Drosophila melanogaster: one gene and its partner. Changing the gene in region 1 together with any one later gene gives a genetic interaction. Each region holds a gene or a part of one and is shown in the gene's direction. Other genes may lie near its edges.

Region 1 (3,926 bases):
TGGGACGTAATCTTCGTCGCCGTGCGACACTGATAACGGGAGATAAAGGGATTCTGAAAGCGACAAATCACGAATGTAAACAATGCTGCCGTCGATAGACGATTGCAATCGGTGTATCGCTGTTAACACACAGCGTTGCCGTTACGATAAACATTGTCCAATTAGAAATGGTTTTTTGAAAATTGAATAATGTGCAATAGTTCATTAAGAGAACAAGATATTATTATCACCGTATTACCTCAAAAATGTTTCATAGCGCTGTTGAAAACGTTTTTTACAAGTATAAATATAATAAGCTTGCTACATTTGAACTTTTTTCAATTTTCTTGAGTAGTCCTATTCTGTAAGTCTTATTATAAACTTTTTTGTTTTTATGTGGCTCACCTTTGGAATTATATTGTTTATTAAACATCTTTTCAGGCCCTTCGTACAATGAAGTCCGAAATCGGCAAGGCGTCACACCGCCTCAACCTTTTCACTTCCGAGATCATGCACTTTATCCACCAAATGCAGTACTATGTGCTATTTGAGGTCATCGAGTGCAACTGGGTGGAGCTACAGAAGAAGATGCAGAAGGCTACTACGTTGGACGAAATCCTGGAAGCTCACGAGAAGTTTCTGCAAACGATTTTGGTGGGCTGTTTTGTCAGCAACAAAGCGAGTGTGGAGCATTCGCTGGAGGTGGTGTACGAGAACATTATCGAATTGGAGAAGTGGCAGTCGAGCTTTTACAAGGACTGCTTTAAGGAGCTAAATGCCCGCAAGGAACTGTCCAAAATTGTGGAGAAATCGGAAAAGAAGGGTGTCTACGGACTGACCAACAAGATGATCCTGCAGCGCGACCAGGAGGCGAAGATATTTGCCGAAAAGATGGACATCGCCTGCCGCGGCTTAGAAGTCATAGCAACCGATTACGAAAAGGCTGTCAGCACTTTCCTAATGTCTCTCAACTCTAGCGACGATCCGAATTTGCAGCTCTTTGGCACTCGGCTGGACTTCAACGAGTACTACAAGAAGAGGGACACCAATTTGAGCAAACCCCTGACCTTCGAGCACATGCGCATGAGCAATGTGTTCGCCGTGAACAGTCGCTTCGTGATATGTACGCCGTCCACTCAGGAATAGCGACCAATGTCCATGCAATCGGTTTATCCCAGTGTCCATACATCATACCAAATCCCAAATCCCATACAGCATCAGCACTCCATTCAGTTCAATTGCTGCTAAATATTTGAGATATCTCGATATCATTGGAGCCAATCCAACCAAACAAACTAATCCAATTATTAACTAAGCCTTCGAATCGAAAACAACCTCTATACATATATATCTCAAGCTTTGCCGTCAATCGCCTGGCTGCAAGCCATCAACTTAAGATATCTCCAATACAAAATTATTGAGTAGTTGTAACGAAAGTATTAAGCGACAATTTGTTTGTCGAAAAACGCAACGTTCTATTTTGTTTGCGAATCCCATAATTTTTTTTACATCGAAGCTTAGTTGAAATAGATTTTCGTAAGTGCATTTGCCAATTGCCATGTTGTAATTAAAGAGAATAAGAGAATGTTACGTACTTTAAAAGAATGTTTTAAAAAAGTTAATGTTTTGAACAGTTTTAAACCGTAATGCGAGCTCGAAATAAACGCAACTTGCATTGAAAGTTTCCGTCTCTATTTAATTATTATAAATTACAAAAATTTGGGTTATAAGAGTGTAATAGTTATTTATTCAATTATTGTAAATGCGTATAAAAAGAAAGCCGAAATATTCAGTTATTTATATTATTTCCTTCTCACTCTCACTCAAACTTTCTGATCTCAAAACGGTTTTGTAATCGAATGCGCAGCGAGTTATCGACAGTCCACGAAGCGGTTAACATTTCACCGCTAGCGAGTGCAGCCACCTACTATTCAGCGTAGCCAACCACCAACGTGCAGCAAACATCGATAGTATCGATTAAACACAAATTTGCGTACCACCTCTAGTTTGCGAGCGTATTAAAGTTAAAAAAAAAACGAAAACAAATCGGAAAAAGACGGAAGTGAGTGCTTTGTGCTGCCGCCGGTGATGTGCTGAAATCGCTTCGCCAAAATAGCCCAATTTCCCAATCGAGACACCGATTGCAAATCAAAGTAACGCCACGGAGTGCAGCAAAAAGAAAAACAAAAACAACAGCAACTGCAAACATGGCACTGAAAAAAGTGAAGGGTAACTTTTTCGAGCGTATGTTTGATAAAAACCTCACCGATTTGGTGCGCGGCATTAGGAACAACAAGGATAATGAGGTAAGCGTGCAGCCCCGCCTCCACCGCCCACCAAAACAGCTGTCCTCCAACTGCCACGCCCCCCCCAAGCGGCCCAGCTGTGCGTCCAATTAGAACTCGCTAATTGGCTGACAAATTTCGTTTGCATTAAGGGAATCTTATTAGAGTTTGGTGTGCTTGCATGTGTGCGTGTGTGTGTGTGTGGGTGAAAGTGGCTGTGTGTTTGTGTGTGTGAATGTTTTGGCATCTGCCAACAGTGCAAAAGGAAAAGCAGGAAAAGCTTGAAAAGAACCACAAAACCGAACGCAGAAACTCCCAACGCACCAAATTAATTAGCAAGTGGCTTTTATCAAATATTTACCCACGTTAATTCCCCCGCCGTTGGTCTTTTTATTCGGTCCTTATCAGAATGCTTGGCAGGATCGGCTAACGGTACTTGAGTTTTCACACGGAGAGAAAATTGCGTGTGATTTGCAAAAATAAAATTGTAGCTTCATTTGCTTCGATTGTTAGTAATTGCAAATATTAATGCAATAAAAATAATAATAAATAAATTGCCAAAAAATCAGTTTCCATCCAGTTATGGTTTGCATATCGTGCAACAAGAACAATTGAGAAATAAGAATATATGCAAGAATAACTAAGTTTGTCTACGTAAACAAAAAAATAAGTGGCTCTTGATTGAATTCGATTTCTATATCTTCCACTGCGCATTTCGATTGTTATTTTTGCTCTTGTGTGGTCCACTGTAAGCGCTGATTTACAAATGTGCTTAAAATTATAGCATTCATTCGTTTCAGTAAGATAAAAAAATAAATATTAATTGAAAATTGTGCATTTTTAATCTCAACTAAATGTTACTCATCAGCTAGCGCAGTTTCCATATAACTTTTCATGTAAACAACTTAAGGCGGCCATTATATTTCCATTTTGTACAGCACAAATGAAGAGTAAACAATCAAACTTTGTATATTTACATTCGATTTTATTAACAACTGCATCGGAATTAATGCAACAACACTATTATTCTACCCGCCACTGTATGATTTGGAATTTGTGTTTTTCTTTATTTTTGTTCTATTGCTGTGGGCATAAAACTGATAGCCCCACGACGATTCTCAGATATGTTTGTTGTTTTACTCTGCGCTGCCATTGCACATTTCGCATTTTCACATACTATATTTCGAATATAAACATATTGATTGACAATAACTTTCTCCGCAGGCCAAATACATATCGACGTGCATTGAGGAGATCAAACAGGAGCTGCGACAGGACAATATAAGTGTCAAGTGTAATGCAGTGGCCAAGTTGACCTACGTAAGTTGAATCTTGGAATCCTTAAACCAAAGACGCACCACAGATGATTAACTCACTATTTGCGAACAATGATGAGGGACTTTTAAAATTTATAGGGGTGTTTTAAAATGGTTAATTAGACAATCGCAAATGTGCTGTTCAAAAATAAGCTGATTATACGCACCGACAGCCCAAAGAGGATTCAGGATTCCCCTTCATTAGAATCATCAGTGCAGATGATTGCGTGTGCATGGATGTGCACCGGATTCTGGTGGCAGCCATTCAAAGTCGACCAAGTGCATGGCTGCACTTGATGCAAATTGCCTGGCGGCCGGTCGGTATATATGGGGGGTCCTTGTAGGC
Region 2 (3,926 bases), on another chromosome or scaffold:
GAATCACCCAGCTTGTAGGCGGGTGGCGAGCTCAACTTAATGTTGTTGATGTCCACGTCGGGAGCAGCACCAGTCTTGGGCACCGGCTTAGGGGTCAGCTTGACGTTCTTGTTGACAATCAGTCCCTCCAGATGCTTCACCACTTCGGCGGCCTTGTCGCCCAGTGGCTTGCCGTGCCAGTTGTCCAAATCCTCGATGTTGGGGAAGTCCCTGCCCTTGAACGTCTTTGCAATGATGGCGGTGGGCTTGTTCTTGGTGATTGCAGCACAATGGAAAGCCTTGCTCAATTCCTCGACATCATGACCATCGACAACGACGGCATTAAAGCCGAAGGCCTCCAGACGATCACGGTAAACATCCAGCTTATGCTGCAGGGAGGTGGCCTCCGACTGGCCCAAGCGGTTCACATCAAAGATCACGCAAAGGTTGTCCAGTTTATAGTGGCCGGCAAAGTGCAGCGACTCCCAGATGGAACCCTCGGCGGACTCACCATCACCCACCACCACGTAGGTGCGGTAGTCGGCCTTGTCGAAGTTCTTGCCCACATAGGCCATGCCAGCGCCGACGGCGACACCCTGTCCCAGGGATCCAGTGCCCACATCGATGAAGTTCAGACGAGGCGTCGGGTGACCCTCCAGATCGCTGTCGATCTTGCGCAGGTTGTTCAGATCCGCGATGGGGAAGAGACCAGCCTCAGCCCAGGCGGCATACAGAATGGGAGCAGCGTGTCCTTTGGACAGGATGAAGCGATCGCTGGAGGGATCGCGTGGGTGCTTCAGGTTCAGGCGCAGCTGCTGGAAGAACAGCACGGACATGATCTCAGCGATCGAGGCACATGATGTGGGATGGCTATAAAGAGGGAAAAGTAGGCAAAATATTAGATTGTGACAAGGCATTTCGTTTGCATGTAGTTCTAGGTTAAGGTAAGTGCCTAATGAATTATAGAAGTCGACCTCACGGTGGGTAAGTGAAGGCCGATCAACAAAGGAAAAGTGGAACTGAACACTGTGCATACTTGTTAAAAACGTTGTTTAATAAAAGAAATCCATTTGTCTATTGAAGCTTTTATTTAAACCCCCCCCCCCCCCTCTGTTCATATTTCAAATGAAGATTTCTCGAGTATCCAATTGCAATGTACATATAAATAAGATAAGATCCATTCTTGGAATTCAATGTTCCCATGCGATCGTGTTCCAAAAAAAATTGCTTTGAATCGCAGATCTGGCACAACTCCAACCGCAAAGAAAACACGCAACCCCAGACAAAATGGGGGGCTCGTCTTACCCCAGACATATAAATAAACTATAACGAGTACATGCATATGTATTTATTGGCGTTATATGGTGTGATATGTGTGTTTGTCGCGACGTGAGTCCATCGCAATTCCTCACCGGTTTCTGGGACCTTGAACTTTTCTGATCACCAAAAAACCTAAATAATAGCCTTAAAAACCAAATTCTTGGCTTCCACGATTGTGTTGCATGGCGATCTTTGTGAACGCACGTGCTTCTAGATAGTTCCGAAGTGCGTCCCCGTTTCCTGCAGCCATATCAAGAACTATTGAAGGTGATACGGAGTGTTAGCAGTGACCCGGCGCGCTTTTTTTTTTTTTATCAGTTTTCAGTGATTTTCGATTATCATGCGGGGAACACACTTGAGCTGGTCACCTCTAATCGGTCATATCGTGGTCAATGAGTAACCAAACCGGGCTTATCTCGTCGGCAGAGGTCACATTTAGAGCAAACAGAGCAGATCTTATCTTGAACCGTCACAAAAAAAAAAAAAAACGAAACAGAATGGAAAAACTAATGGAGGCGATAAAAGTGTTTTCCTTATCAGCATAGTAACTTTTTTATTTACTGTTGCAGTAATAATTTGATCGCGTCTATCCGAGATATAATTACATTAAAAGCCATACAGTCGTAAATCTCAAGTGTAGGGGATCATTCCATTACTATTCTCATCCCTCTCTTTCCAATTCCACTCCCGTCACAAGCTGTGCTTTCCAACACTTGTATGTACATATGTACATACGTATATTAAATGCCTCTGTTTGATATGTAAGTATGTTTGTTTTTACCCCATGTACATATGTATGTGCTTTCGGCGTTTTGAACGCCACGCACAAAACAAAAGCAAAAGAAATTAAAAGGCAGTAAGAAAAACCTAACGTTTCAAGGTTGTCTAAGGTCAAAAAATATTAGCTCACAATTTAAGGTAGGTGAACGCGGCTTATCACTGAGCACGCAGGCAGGGCAACAAATTCGCAAATTCACTAAAGCTACTGGACAACACGTGGGTTGGCAACTGAATCCCAGGAGGGGTCACTAAAGGAACCGGTCTTCCCATATTTTACTTCTCACATTCATACAAACATAGATGCATAACTATGTATATGCGTAACTATTTTTGTTTTATTTTCTTTTGTAATGTTTCAAAACACATACATATGTATGTATGTATTTAGCAGCCCCCTCAAAAACTTTTTCGCACCCACCCTGGAAATGGAGGGGGTCACCTTTGAAGCAACAAGTGCAAGGTGCACAACTTTTAAAATTCACATCTACACAAACAAATCTAAATACGCACACTTTAATATGCCTATGGACTTTCAGTTATTGATAAACTTACCCCGATTTGGAGGCCTGGGTGGCGTTGATAGAGTGAATTCGCAGTTTCTGGGCCAGATCTTTCAGATCCTGGACGGTCTTAGCTTCGGGCTTGTGGTACGACATCTTTGAAATGCGAATGTAAATTGGATCCGAACAAATGCGGTTTTTGATATGTTGCACAACAAAACTCGGGAGTTTCGGATTCGTTAGCCAAAGGGTGACTCCTCTATGTTTGCAATAGACAGACAAGAGTATCGACGTGGTGGATAAGTAGCTCGAGTCGGAGTTATCAACGGACCACTGCTGCCGGCTTCTGGGAACGAACTGCTCTCGTCGCCGGCACTTCGGTCGCTTTTACGCTGTGGGGGCTCAATCTTGGGAGCGGACTCGCAAAGTATCGGTATCGTCTATCGTCGGCGCTGGAACGAGATGGATATATGTATAAATATGGCATCTTTGCTCGCACACCACCCCTTTATCGGTGCACAGCTGTGGGTGGGTAACTAGTTAGTTTCAAATAGTGCATTGCTGCCTTTCTAAATTCATGCACAATTTTGGTCTAAAATTAAGCCATGAACAGTTGTACCTGAATATTTTCTCATTAAGATTTACAATGCTTTAGTATTTAATATAAGTTTACAAGAATTTAAGGTCCTATTTTTCTGGCCGCGAGTATTAAAGAGCAGCGGTGTTTAAGAGAAGTGCCCTCTCTTTTTGTCACTTTCCCCACCTCGCTCCTGAACAAAAGGTGAATTAGCCGCAAGCGAATTTAACCTTCGATAGCTCAGTTGGTAGAGCGGTGGACTGTAGTTGGAAAAACATGCAATAGAAATCCATAGGTCGCTGGTTCAAATCCGGCTCGAAGGATCGAAAAGATATAAATACCTTTTTTTTATATATTTTGTAGTGCACATACCTTTTTTTTTATATATTTTGTAGTGCACAATTTAAATCAATTTAATTCATCTACAGACATTCAGAATATAACTGAGCTGTTTAAACTAAATAATATAAGAAGGATTTTATTTGGAAGAAATAAACCGTAACTAAATTGATATAGTTTGTGAAAAGCGCCTAGGCTATTAGGCTTGGAAACTATAGGCTTACTGCAATGGACTGAATAGAGAAAGTTGATCAATTTTGTTTGACCTAAATAAGTAAAAATCAAAAATAAATAACCAAATACGGTGCATTTCGTTTGTGCGCATGCATAAAACGAACAACGGCCAAGTTTGAACTCAACCTTCGATAGCTCAGTTGGTAGAGCGGTGGACTGTAGTTGGAAAATTATGCAATAGAAATCCATAGGTCGCT

Evidence for each region.
Region 2: of g (region 1) and p, changing one enhances a phenotype caused by changing the other (phenotypic enhancement), as found in Drosophila melanogaster (one study listed by BioGRID).

Annotation. Positions count from the first base shown.
Region 1 is NC_004354.4:13,734,301-13,738,226, reverse strand, and holds the start of g (garnet), read left to right. Parts: upstream 1-1,948; 5' UTR 1,949-2,186; coding exon 2,187-2,285; intron 2,286-2,537; exon of another isoform or gene 2,538-2,696; intron 2,697-3,488; coding exon 3,489-3,584; intron 3,585-3,926. Other genes in the region: Grip91 (Gamma-tubulin ring protein 91), read left to right, coding at 421-1,125. UniProt on the Drosophila melanogaster protein: Part of the AP-3 complex, an adapter-related complex which is not clathrin-associated. The complex is associated with the Golgi region as well as more peripheral structures.
Region 2 is NT_033777.3:8,668,634-8,672,559, reverse strand, and holds the start of p (pink), read left to right. Parts: upstream 1-1,875; 5' UTR 1,876-2,060; intron 2,061-2,631; coding exon of another isoform or gene 2,632-2,735; exon of another isoform or gene 2,736-3,031; intron 3,032-3,385; exon of another isoform or gene 3,386-3,479; intron 3,480-3,854; exon of another isoform or gene 3,855-3,926. Other genes in the region: CG8036 (uncharacterized protein), read right to left, coding at 1-849, 2,632-2,735. UniProt on the Drosophila melanogaster protein: Has a role in the biogenesis of eye pigment granules. Eye pigment granules are specialized forms of late endosomes or lysosomes. Biogenesis of pigment granules in the eye requires molecular components required for protein delivery to lysosomes.